3 linked regions of the Xenopus tropicalis genome follow. The protein of the gene in region 3 purifies or fractionates together with the protein of the main gene of each other region. This does not show direct contact. Links are inferred from orthologs where the notes say so. Each region holds a gene or a part of one and is shown on either strand. Other genes may lie near its edges.

Region 1 (4,338 bases), on a different chromosome or scaffold from region 3:
TAATAACTACAACTAAATAAAAACAGACCAACTGCAAATTGTCTCAGAATATCACTCTCTACATCATACTAAAAGTTAACTCAAAGGTGACCAACCCTTTAACCCCTGGCTGACCAGACTAGAATACAACAACTCTATGAATGATATTAACCTCACACAAACCAATGTCTAAAGGGGTAGTTCTTTATGTCACCCTCACTAACTTGTACCCAGCAGCACCCAGGCACCTTGGGGTTTAGCAGCGCTAGAGTGCAAGCTCTTGAGCACAGATATCTGTTACACTTGTTGCAAGGGGCTTCAGGATTTGTGCAACTGCAGAAACTTTTTCCCGACCCCTAACCCCCAAATTTTCCTAATGAAGATATTCCAGCCCCCACCCCAACATAAACAGGTCACTGAGGCCCAGCAGGGGGCGCCTCCCAGAGCCATTACTGTATCAGACTGGAATAAGGATTGTGGCACCAAATCAGTCCGTACTTGGCTGCCCGAATCTTCTGGGCTCCATTTTCCCTGCTAGGCCGGGCTGCCAGATTTATTTTCCCAAACCAGCCAAAGTCAGTGCTAAAATCAGCCCAAAACCAGCCAAAAGCCACTTTGAAAGTAGCCCAAATATAGCCCAATATGTGCAATGAAAAAGAATTCTAGAAAATAAAAGTATATATGGGAAAAGCTGCCTTTATAAAGCGTATAATCACTGCCCAGTTACTGGCATGGCTGTTTCCCTGCTCTCTGGGCCCAGTTACTGGGATGGCTGTTTCCCTGCTCTCTGGGCCCAGTTACTGGGATGGCTGTTTCCCTGCTCTCTGGGCCCAGTTACTGGGATGGCTGTTTCCCTGCTCTCTGGGCCCAGTTACTGGGATGGCTGTTTCCCTGCTCTCTGGGCCCAGTTACTGGGATGGCTGTTTCCCTGCTCTCTGGGCCCAGTTACTGGGATGGCTGTTTCCCTGCTCTCTGGGCCCAGTTACTGGCATGGCTGTTTCCCTGCTCTCTGGGCCCAGTTACTGGGATGGCTGTTTCCCTGCTCTCTGGGCCCAGTTACTGGGATGGCTGTTTCCCTGCTCTCTGGGCCCAGTCCCTGCAGGTTATTGTAGTTTTGATGCCTCAGATTCAGCAGAGGAATAGAAAAGGGAGCTGCTGTCTATAATTGCATGCTGGGTATTGTAGTTTTATAGTCAGCCTAGCTGTAGGCCAATAGTAAAGATACAAACTACATTACCCAGCATGCACTGGGACAGACATGTCAGAGGGAAAACACTTTAGCTAGTTTCCAAACTACAAACCCGCCAAGGCGCCAAAAACGAACCCAAATTTGTACCTTGGCGGGTTTGTACTTTGGAAACCCTTCTGGGCTTTAAATTAGTAGTAATTTGGCGGAAAACCCGCCAACCCGGCAAACCCTGCTGCTAGGTCTCCCCTACCCCGACACTTTAATCACCCCACCCTTCCCCACTTCCCAGATGTTTTGCCCTTATCTTGGCCCCGCCTCCCTACTTTCCAGCGCTACTGAGCAAGCGCACTGCCCATCTCCAGCTTAGGGACCGTGTGCAAAGCGCTGTGCCCGTAAGAAGGCTGCGCCCAGTGCTTGTCAGATTGCTCCCTCCCTATCCGCCCCCGCTATTGCCAGACGTTCCCTGCGCACAGCCTGCAGTGGGGAATGCGGAGTCCGGGCTGGAGAGGGGGGATCGGTGCCAGGCTGAGCTGTGCCCGGGCACCATGGCACTGAACGCGGCGGAGGAGGAGGAGTACGAGCGGCTGGTGCTCGACTCCGGTCCCGAATGGCTACGAGCGGAGGTGCGGCGGCTGGTACGGGAGCTGGCGGAGACCTCTCGGGAGAAGATCCAGGCGGCCGAGTACGGGCTGGCGGTGCTGGAGGAGAAGCAGCAGCTGAAGCAGCAATACGAGGAGCTGGAGGGGGAGTGTGAGACCGCCCGGCAGGAACTGGAGCAGCTCAAGGAGGTACCGCCTGGGGCAATAACCGGCTTGGGGGGTATCCTGCTGGGGTAATAACCACTGGCAGGGGCACAATGTACCCCCCCCCAGGGAGAAGGGTATCCTGGGGCAGTTACTGGGAAAGGGAGAAGGGTATCCTGGGGCAGTTACTGGGAAAGAGAGAAGGGTATCCTGGGGCAGTTACTGGGAAAGGGAGAAGGGTATCCTGGGGCAGTTACTGGGAAAGGGAGAAGGGTATCCTGGGGCAGTTACTGGGAAAGGGAGAAGGGTATCCTGGGGCAGTTACTGGGAAAGAGAGAAGGGTATCCTGGGGCAGTTACTGGGAAAGGGAGAAGGGTATCCTGGGGCAGTTACTGGGAAAGGGAGAAGGGTATCCTGGGGCAGTTACTGGGAAAGGGAGAAGGGTATCCTGGGGCAGTTATTGGGAAAGGGAGAAGGGTATCCTGGGGCAGTTACTGGGAAAGGGAGAAGGGTATCCTGGGGCAGTTACTGGGAAAGGGAGAAGGGTATCCTGGGGCAGTTACTGGGAAAGGGAGAAGGGTATCCTGGGGCAGTTATTGGGAAAGGGAGAAGGGTATCCTGGGGCAGTTACTGGGAAAGGGAGAAGGGTATCCTGGGGCAGTTACTGGGAAAGGGAGAAGGGTATCCTGGGGCAGTTATTGGGAAAGGGAGAAGGGTATCCTGGGGCAGTTACTGGGAAAGGGAGAAGGGTATCCTGGGGCAGTTACTGGGAAAGGGAGAAGGGTATCCTGGGGCAGTTACTGGGAAAGGGAGAAGGGTATCCTGGGGCAGTTATTGGGAAAGGGAGAAGGGTATCCTGGGGCAGTTACTGGGAAAGGGAGAAGGGTATCCTGGGGCAGTTACTGGGAAAGGGAGAAGGGTATCCTGGGGCAGTTATTGGGAAAGGGAGAAGGGTATCCTGGGGCAGTTATTGGGAAAGGGAGAAGGGTATCCTGGGGCAGTTACTGGGAAAGGGAGAAGGGTATCCTGGGGCAGTTACTGGGAAAGGGAGAAGGGTATCCTGGGGCAGTTATTGGGAAAGGGAGAAGGGTATCCTGGGGCAGTTACTGGGAAAGGGAGAAGGGTATCCTGGGGCAGTTATTGGGAAAGGGAGAAGGGTATCCTGGGGCAGTTATTGGGAAAGGGAGAAGGGTATCCTGGGGCAGTTATTGGGAAAGGGAGAAGGGTATCCTGGGGCAGTTATTGGGAAAGGGAGAAGGGTATCCTGGGGCAGTTATTGGGAAAGGGAGAAGGGTATCCTGGGGCAGTTACTGGGAAAGGGAGAAGGGTATCCTGGGGCAGTTATTGGGAAAGGGAGAAGGGTATCCTGGGGCAGTTATTGGGAAAGGGAGAAGGGTATCCTGGGGCAGTTACTGGGAAAGGGAGAAGGGTATCCTGGGGCAGTTATTGGGAAAGGGAGAAGGGTATCCTGGGGCAGTTATTGGGAAAGGGAAATGCACCGCTGGGGCAGTTATTGGGAAAGGGAGATGGACCGCTGGGGCAGTTATTGGGAAAGGGAGATGGACCGCTGGGGCAGTTATTGGGAAAGGGAGATGGACCGCTGGGGCAGTTATTGGGAAAGGGAGATGGACCGCTGGGGCAGTTATTGGGAAAGGGAAATGCACCGCTGGGGCAGTTATTGGGAAAGGGAGATGGACCGCTGGGGCAGTTATTGGGAAAGGGAAATGCACCGCTGGGGCAGTTATTGGGAAAGGGAGATGGACCGCTGGGGCAGTTATTGGGAAAGGGAGATGGACCGCTGGGGCAGTTATTGGGAAAGGGAGATGGACCGCTGGGGCAGTTATTGGGAAAGGGAGATGGACCGCTGGGGCAGTTATTGGGAAAGGGAGATGGACCGCTGGGGCAGTTATTGGGAAAGGGAGATGGACCGCTGGGGCAGTTATTGGGAAAGGGAGATGGACCGCTGGGGCAGTTATTGGGAAAGGGAGATGGACCGCTGGGGCAGTTATTGGGAAAGGGAGATGGACCGCTGGGGCAGTTATTGGGAAAGGGAGATGCACCGCTGGGGCCGTTATTGGGAAAGGGAGATGCACCGCTGGGGGGGGGGGTAATTTGGATGCCCAGTGGCTTCAGGTGACAGGTCCCTGTCTGCCTCTCCAGTTACTGCTAAACGGGGTACATTGTGTCAGCTATTGCCAGTCAGGGGGGGCTGTGCCAGCTGTGGGGGCTAATTATGGCTAACTGGGGGTTCAGACTGTTGGGGGTACCAAATCCTGCCAAACGGTAGGTGCCAATATTGTGCCCAGGCTCTGCCAGTTACTCTGCAAGGATTGTTCTCAGATACTGCCCCTGCCTGTGGCCCAAACACTGCCCCCTGCCTGTGGCCCAAACACTGCCCCCTGGTATTGTGGGCATAACCCTCCTGTC
Region 2 (3,649 bases), on a different chromosome or scaffold from region 3:
TATCGGCAGCTTCCTGCGATATCGGTCGACTCGCCGACATGCCATACACGCACCGATTATCGTACGAAACGAGGTTTCGTACGATAATATCGGTGCGTGTATGGCCACCTTTAGCCTAACAGCACTGATTAAAGATTGTGAATTGTTGACAGACAATCCCAGATATCACAACACAATGCACTATAATTTAATCTAAAAATACACTAATGTAATTGTTTGGCAATTACGTGAATACAAGCCACCCCGAGCGAGAACCATATCAATGAGCTGATGAGGTCGTTTGATAAGACAGAAAAAATTAAACCAGTCAAACATCTGCTTGATTTTTGGTCAAATATCAGTCAGATAGGCCCCATACATGGTAAAATAAGCTGCCAATTCTGTCTGAAGGGCCCAAACCATAATCTTATCAGCTACCTGTTTATGGACACCTTTAAGCTTAAAGGGGAAGGAAAGGCTAGTAAAGAGTTAATCTCAAGCTGCAGGCATACCTTCAGTTGTCTCAATAGTGCCCTTAAGTCTCCCCATATTTCAACTGGTTAGAAGATCTGAAGCCAAACAGGAAGAAAATACACTGAGCTGCGTAAAGAAAGTTCCCATAATGCCTCACTCCTGCACAGACACGAATACTAAGTGAACATGCTCAGTTAGACTATGAGTTAGCTTCCTGCTGATTGGCTCAGATCCACATTCCTAAGGGGGGGGAGAGAGTCCTTAGCATTCTTGAGGGAGGGGGGAGCAGGAGAGGGGAGAGAACAGAAAGCTGCGTGTCTCTGGCACAGGAATTACAGACCCAAATTATCCTTTTTCAGAGAAGTCAGTGCAGCGTTTCCGTGAGTGCTTATAGCTGTATTTACATAGACCTTTCTGATAAAGCTTACTTAGGGGGCAGATTTATCAAAACAGGAGTTCGAATCCCGAATGGGAAAAATTCGGATTGGAAACGAAAATTTCTGAAGGTCGCAAATATCACGAAAATGCTTACGAAAAAATCGTATTAGTCACGATAATATCGTATTGGCGATCTGAAAGTCACTGAATTTTTATACCAAACAATTGTAAACAGCGGCAGAGCCTTTCCAAAATTGTCGAGAATACACTCGAAGCGTTCGCATAAACGCTCCGAGCGTTTGGATCTTGGTAAATCTCCCCCTTAGTGTTTACCTTTATTTCTCCTTTGTCAAAGGGAACATAATAAGCAAATCTACACCTGGGCAGAATCAATGGCAAACAATGCTTTATTGTTTTACCTGCAGTCAGCTGCAAAAGAGCTAAACACTGATTGATTGCTGCCCAGGGACAAATTTGTCCAGTGTTTACACATAAATCCCAATGTGTATTTTCCATGTATTTTTCAATGCATTTCTGGGGTAAACCAATAACCTTCTCACCCATCACCTCTCAATAATTTCTTTACTGGTGGCAGACACAGCTACTTGCCTGGGGCAGCTTTCCATTTTAATGGAACAATTGCACTTAAAATGTACCACCCATTGAAAATGGATATTTAGACAACATTTCTGGCCACAAATTGCATCGGGTGATTGATGCGATTCTTGCCCAATGGCCAGCATTCTGTTGTTTGATCCAATAGTTGTGACCCACGGCCCTCAAGGTGGGCATATTGGGGAATGATCTGCACTTTAGTCAACCTTGCCAAACAAGTGGATCTTTACATGTATGGCCAGCTTTAGTCAGGTTCCAAGCTGCACCTGTTTAGAACCAACATCTCTGGGTGATCAATCATCAGGTTTTCTCTACAATACAGGAAAACAGCAAATGATTTAACTTACTTGGATCTCTGAGTCTTCTTATATTTCTGCTGTCCTTGAAATATTCTCCAAGACTACTCCTGTTCAAAGAGACAATTATATTTCAAACTAAATACTAACCTTTAATAACATGCATTTTCTTGTGCAACTCTGCTATTACAAACTGCAGAAATTGCTCAAGGAAAGAATAGAGAGAAAACAACAAACCTAGAAGGGTTCTGGCCTGGATTTGAAGGAATGCTCAGAGAGCAACATGCCTCATCATGATACACATTCAGAAGACCCTGCCTGTCTTCAGAATCATAACAGGCATAATACCTGAAAAACAGAAAAAATATTAGGAGAAAGTTGGCATGTGTTCATGTGATCAGGATCAGCTGTTTAGCTGGTAAAGAATGTGGGACACTGTGCATCTTTACCAGATGCAAAAAATAAAAATCAAATACTGCCTAAGCAAGCAGATGACAAGCTTGGTAGTGTCCTGAATTGTGGGAATTTTCCTTAAAGGAAAACCTTTTACCCCCCAAACAATGTAGGCCTCTATAAAAATATATTGCATAAACCAGCTTATATGTAAAACCCTGCTCCATAAAAATATACTTTTTAGTAGTATGTGCTATTGGGTAATCCTAAATAGAAAATTGCCATTTTAAGAATTAAGGGCCGCCTCCTGGGATCACAGGATTCACAGTGCACACAAACAAGCCAAGGCACACATACATGCTAGGCCCCATCAGCCAATGAATGGACAGTGTTCTGCCTTTTGCTCCCACACTACTTCCTGTTACAGTTAGAGCTGCATTATTTCTGGTCATGTGATCTGAGGGAGCAAACAGCCTGTCACTTAATGGTGGATCAAGGGAAAGGATGTAAAAGGGCAATATTTACTGATATAATATTCCAGTTTGGCGAGATTCTTTAATAGATCACTTAACGTAGTATAAACCATCAATATTCATTCTGGGGTATAGTTTTTTTTTTTTTAAAGGACATGTCAACTCCAAAAATAAATGTTTGTCTAATAAAAGAAAATATAATTCTAAGAAACTTTCCAACATACATTAAAAATTATTAGTACTTTAAAAGTTTTGGAAATGTAATTGTTTTTAAAAGTAACAACCAGGAGATCAGCAAATGCTGATTTCTATAATAATGTTTCAAGTGCCAGGCTCCTCCAGCAAGTCAGGTCTGTCAGTCTGCTAGCAGTTACATTGTTCCAAACACCAGAGCCAACAGGGCAGAGAATAGAAAATGACTGGCAAACACAACTTCTAATATGTATTATATACAAATAACTCTAAAACCATTACAAATATGCAATGAATGTATATTTTCAAAGTTGCTTAGAATTAAGTTTTCTTTTATTAGACAAAAAAATATTCAAGAGAGAAAAAGGGAGAATAATTTGGGCTACATCCAAGACTAACAGAACATATGTCCAATTCAAGATTGTGCCTGAAAACAAATAGCTGAAGATATTTTACCTCACACTGACCCATGGGGAAAAGTGTCGGTGGAAAGGCCTTTCTATCAGTAAAATTACTCTAAACAGCCTCCAGAATTACCTACCTTTGTCCCAGCATTCTCTCTGACCTGGTTCCTCAGTTAGAAGGCGATTGTTTTTCTTTACTTCCTTGTGCAGAGTGAAGCCCTGCCCCCACTCTCTGTTCAGTTCTCTCTACCTGTAGTCGACCTGGAGACCCTTCTGCGCATGACTGGAGTCAGCAGAAGCCAGTCTGTGGATTAGCAGTTTTTTTTGTTTTTTTTTATGAGAGACCTGAACAGGAAGTGGGGGTGGGGCTTCACTCTGCACAAGGAAGCAAAGAAAAACGATCACCTTCTGACTGAGGAACCAGGTCAGAGAGAATGCTGGGGAC
Region 3 (3,649 bases):
ACAAGTAAACAGTTCTGACAGTTGCTATCATTCATTTAGCTTTCTGAAGTAAAAGACTTAGAAGATGACGCATGCCTTGCCTTTGCAACACTGGATTTAGTTGACGGAAAAACAGAGGATGCAATAATAGCATTTGATGCTGTTAAGAACGTTGTTGCCTATTGGAACCTTGCTTTGGTATGTGTTACTACTCTGCATCTTCTGTGTTTAGTTTGACACACTTCTGTTTTACATTAAAATTGCCTATATGTAATTTAATTTTATGAAAAAACTATCACAAGTAGCTGATGAACTGATGTGCTGGCTATAATGAAGCAGATGATATTATCAACACAGTATTGCTTTTAACCTGATGAAATAGAAATCTATTCTTGTAATTTTTTTTGTAGATATACCAGCGTAAGGCCGAAGAAATTGAAAATGATTGTTTGCCAGCAGAAGAACAGGAAGAGTTCCAGGAGTGCCTGCTTAAGTGCAAAGGCTATTTGAAAATGATTTGTGATGAATATAATGCTGATCCTTCCATTGCAACATTGGTAATAAGACAATTTGAATAAAAGGGCTATATGTTGATATTATTTAGATATAATATTATAGTTCTGTCGATAAAGTCTATACTTGCTAGTGTTTATCCATTAGTCCCCTAAATTACCCGGAGAGGCCCATTTATCAACATTCTGATTTTTGTCGTTTTAAGTTTTTTGAAACCACACAAAAAATTTGAGTTTTAGAGCAAGATGTCAACTTTATGGACATTGGTAAATATTAACAAGGCTTTGGCCTTTCTCCATCAAAGTGTTAGATTATCTGTGTGGCTAAAGACACAGAGCTGTTCATACATCCTGTTGGCTGGTCACAATTATAATGACTGAGGTGCTTACTGGTCCTTGTAATACCATAATCCAGCTCTAACTAACTCATTTCTTTGGTGACTTGGCCCAACGGCTAAAGTCTCTGAACAGCTAGTTAAGGTCCACCAATGAAGTAGGCAACTTGCTTAAAGATGACCTTACCAATTGGCATGCAGAACATAGTGTTTTCTGTATATTTGCTGATATTTCTTAACAATTCACACCAAGGTCTTGTTTGTCTTTAATGTGATCTAGAGAATATAGCGCTGAGCACACAACATGGCAGTGAGGCCTAAAGTAGTGTTGTCATGCATATAGAAGGTAAAAATAAGTTAGTTACATTTTCACTAAAATGCTTTCAATGCTGTCTTGTATATTCCAGATAGCTTCCTAAGAAGCTTCAGTAGTGGGTAAATACTGTAATACTTCAGTAGCAGGTAAATACTGTAGTTGTGTTTTAAATCTTTAAAATGGTGGCTGATTATTTAGAGTAGAAGCCAGTCAAGTATATTTATACTTAACATTGTTGTCATAGTACCGATGCCTTTACTGTGTGGAAATAAATATTCTTTGATATTGCTATAGATATTTGCAAGCAGAAATTCACTCTCAATTGTTAAACCGTAATATTTTGTTTTACTACAGTTGCCAGTTCCAGTTGAGACTGTGATTGAGATGCTGGAGTCAGTGAAGCAGAATCTTGGAGAAGCGATGGAAGATCGTAGCCTGGGCTTTGTGGAAAATCATTCAGCAATAAAACATTCCACACCATCACCCTCCAAGCTGTCCATATCGCCCAGCAAACCAACTCGGGTATTTTATTAAAAAAATGCAGCTGAATTTTGATTATCTACCTTTTCTTGTCAATGAATACAGTCTTATTTGCTTCATATAAGTGTATGTAGAAGCCAATGATGAAACAAATTGCTAGAGAAACTGTCCTGTTACTTAATTGCTCAGGATATTTCTTCTGGTGGCTTTGCTGTGGGTGTCAGGGAGAAGTGAGGTAGAGAGCATTGAATTAAGGGTAGTGGCTTTGCACATATGAGTCACATGTTTGCAAGGGATATGCTCATGTCATGGGCTGCAATGCCATTTCATTCATAGCAAGGCACAGAACGATTACACCAACTTTATACTTTGGGCTAACATACCCCTTTAAGAGAAGAGTGAATATATTGCAAAGCTTAATAAACCCAATAATTTATACAGCTAAATTGTATATTAATATGTAGGGTATTGCTGGAGATTTGCAATTAATATCCATAATTAGCTGGCAATTCTGATTAATAACCGAGAACCAGCAGCTGGTTTTGGGTTCCTTTTGTGCCCTTAGATGCCTACAGTTTGTTTAACATTTGTAAACTGTATGCAAAATTACCTCTAAAGTCAGTTTCTTAAAATTCTTTAGAAATAGGGTAAATTAAGGTGGTTTAATTGGTTACAATTTAACTCAAACTACTTATGTACCAGTATGTGATGTTCTTTTAAAGCTTTCATGGCAGCCCAAGGCAACTACAGCCCATTAGCAGTGGAAAATCTGTGCCTCCATAGATGCAAAACTATGCAAAAAAAAATTAGCTGGGAACAGAAAGTATACAATTAAATCCTGATTTTGTCAAACAAGAAGGTAGTGATAATAAAAACTGAACTATTTTATTTTTGTTTTTTTAGTTTTCTCCCAAAACGCCACCACGTTGGGCAGAAGATCAAAAATCTCTACTTGAAGTGCTCTGTAATAAAGTAGAAGCATTGAAGGTAAGGGGAGGTTAACATTTGTTTAATAAAAAGGTAACCAAAGCTTTTACTGTCTAGTGCCACTTAAGGGTGCCTACATGCAATCCTAACATGCTTTGTTCATGCTTGGTGGCCCTAAATTACATTCTACACTTATGTGGCTTTCCTCCAGTCCTGTTGCATAGAACTTATGGTGTTAAGCCTAATAACTTCTATACCTTCAGCTGTCACAGTTTCTGCTTTTTCTACAGCTACCATTCCTGCATTCCATACACATATTTATATGATGTACACTTTTACTTTTAATATTTTGTTATTTTGTCTTAAAGAAAGAAGTTCAAGAGCTGAAACACAACAATTCGAATGCAAACGCTTCCCCTCATAGATGGCCTAATGAAGGATTTGAGCCTGACAGTGTTGCTGATGGCTACCAAGGAACTCAAAGTTTCTATACAGTTCCCCTAACAGGTGAGGCATAACATATTATTCATTATTGTATGCTGCTTGGCAGTGAAAGGCTCCCTGACATTGTTTTGATTTTGAATTAAAGGAAAACTATACTTTCAGAAAGAATACTTAACCAACAGATAATTTATATTATAAGTGCCCTAATAAATAATCTTACCAAATTGCCATGTACATATCTGTACATGTGACCTTTTTACATCTTTTCCCCTTAAAGCTACCATTTTCTGATGTTTTGTGTGCTCTTTCAGTGATCACTTGACAGGAAATAATACAGCTTTATCTAACAACAGAAAGAAATAAGGTGGGGTTGAAATCTTTCACCTGCATGAATTTAAGTTTTGCAGGTGACAAAGGGTCTGGTTATTATCATTAAAGTTTATGATGGAACAGTTGCATGAATTTTGTTCGCCATAGCAGGCATATCCTTACCTTAAGTGCAGTTGAACATGATTGGTACAGGTATGGGAACCCTAATCCAGAATGCTCGGGACCTGGGGTTTACTGGATAAGCGACCTTTCTGTAATTAGGATCTCCTACCTTAAGTCTACTAAAAAAATTATTTAAACAGTAATTAAACACAATAGGATAGTTG

Evidence for each region.
Region 1: the proteins of ranbp2 (region 3) and bicd2 purify together in Homo sapiens (affinity purification with western blotting; 3 studies listed by BioGRID and IntAct, with this or other methods). This does not show direct contact. The link is inferred for Xenopus tropicalis from reciprocal best matches to the Homo sapiens genes RANBP2 and BICD2.
Region 2: the proteins of ranbp2 (region 3) and nxf1 purify together in Homo sapiens (co-immunoprecipitation; 5 studies listed by BioGRID and IntAct, with this or other methods). This does not show direct contact. The link is inferred for Xenopus tropicalis from reciprocal best matches to the Homo sapiens genes RANBP2 and NXF1.

The regions. Positions count from the first base shown.
Region 1 is NC_030680.2:150,841,951-150,846,288, forward strand, and holds the start of bicd2 (protein bicaudal D homolog 2), read left to right. Parts: upstream 1-1,496; 5' UTR 1,497-1,713; coding exon 1,714-1,956; intron 1,957-4,338. UniProt on the Homo sapiens protein: Acts as an adapter protein linking the dynein motor complex to various cargos and converts dynein from a non-processive to a highly processive motor in the presence of dynactin.
Region 2 is NC_030680.2:36,504,824-36,508,472, forward strand, and holds part of nxf1 (nuclear RNA export factor 1), read right to left. Parts: intron 2,091-3,649; coding exon 1,980-2,090; intron 1,853-1,979; coding exon 1,794-1,852; intron 1-1,793.
Region 3 is NC_030678.2:109,294,960-109,298,608, reverse strand, and holds part of ranbp2 (ranBP2-like and GRIP domain-containing protein 4), read left to right. Parts: intron 1-39; coding exon 40-177; intron 178-389; coding exon 390-536; intron 537-1,496; coding exon 1,497-1,664; intron 1,665-2,525; coding exon 2,526-2,609; intron 2,610-2,917; coding exon 2,918-3,056; intron 3,057-3,649. UniProt on the Homo sapiens protein: E3 SUMO-protein ligase which facilitates SUMO1 and SUMO2 conjugation by UBE2I. Involved in transport factor (Ran-GTP, karyopherin)-mediated protein import via the F-G repeat-containing domain which acts as a docking site for substrates.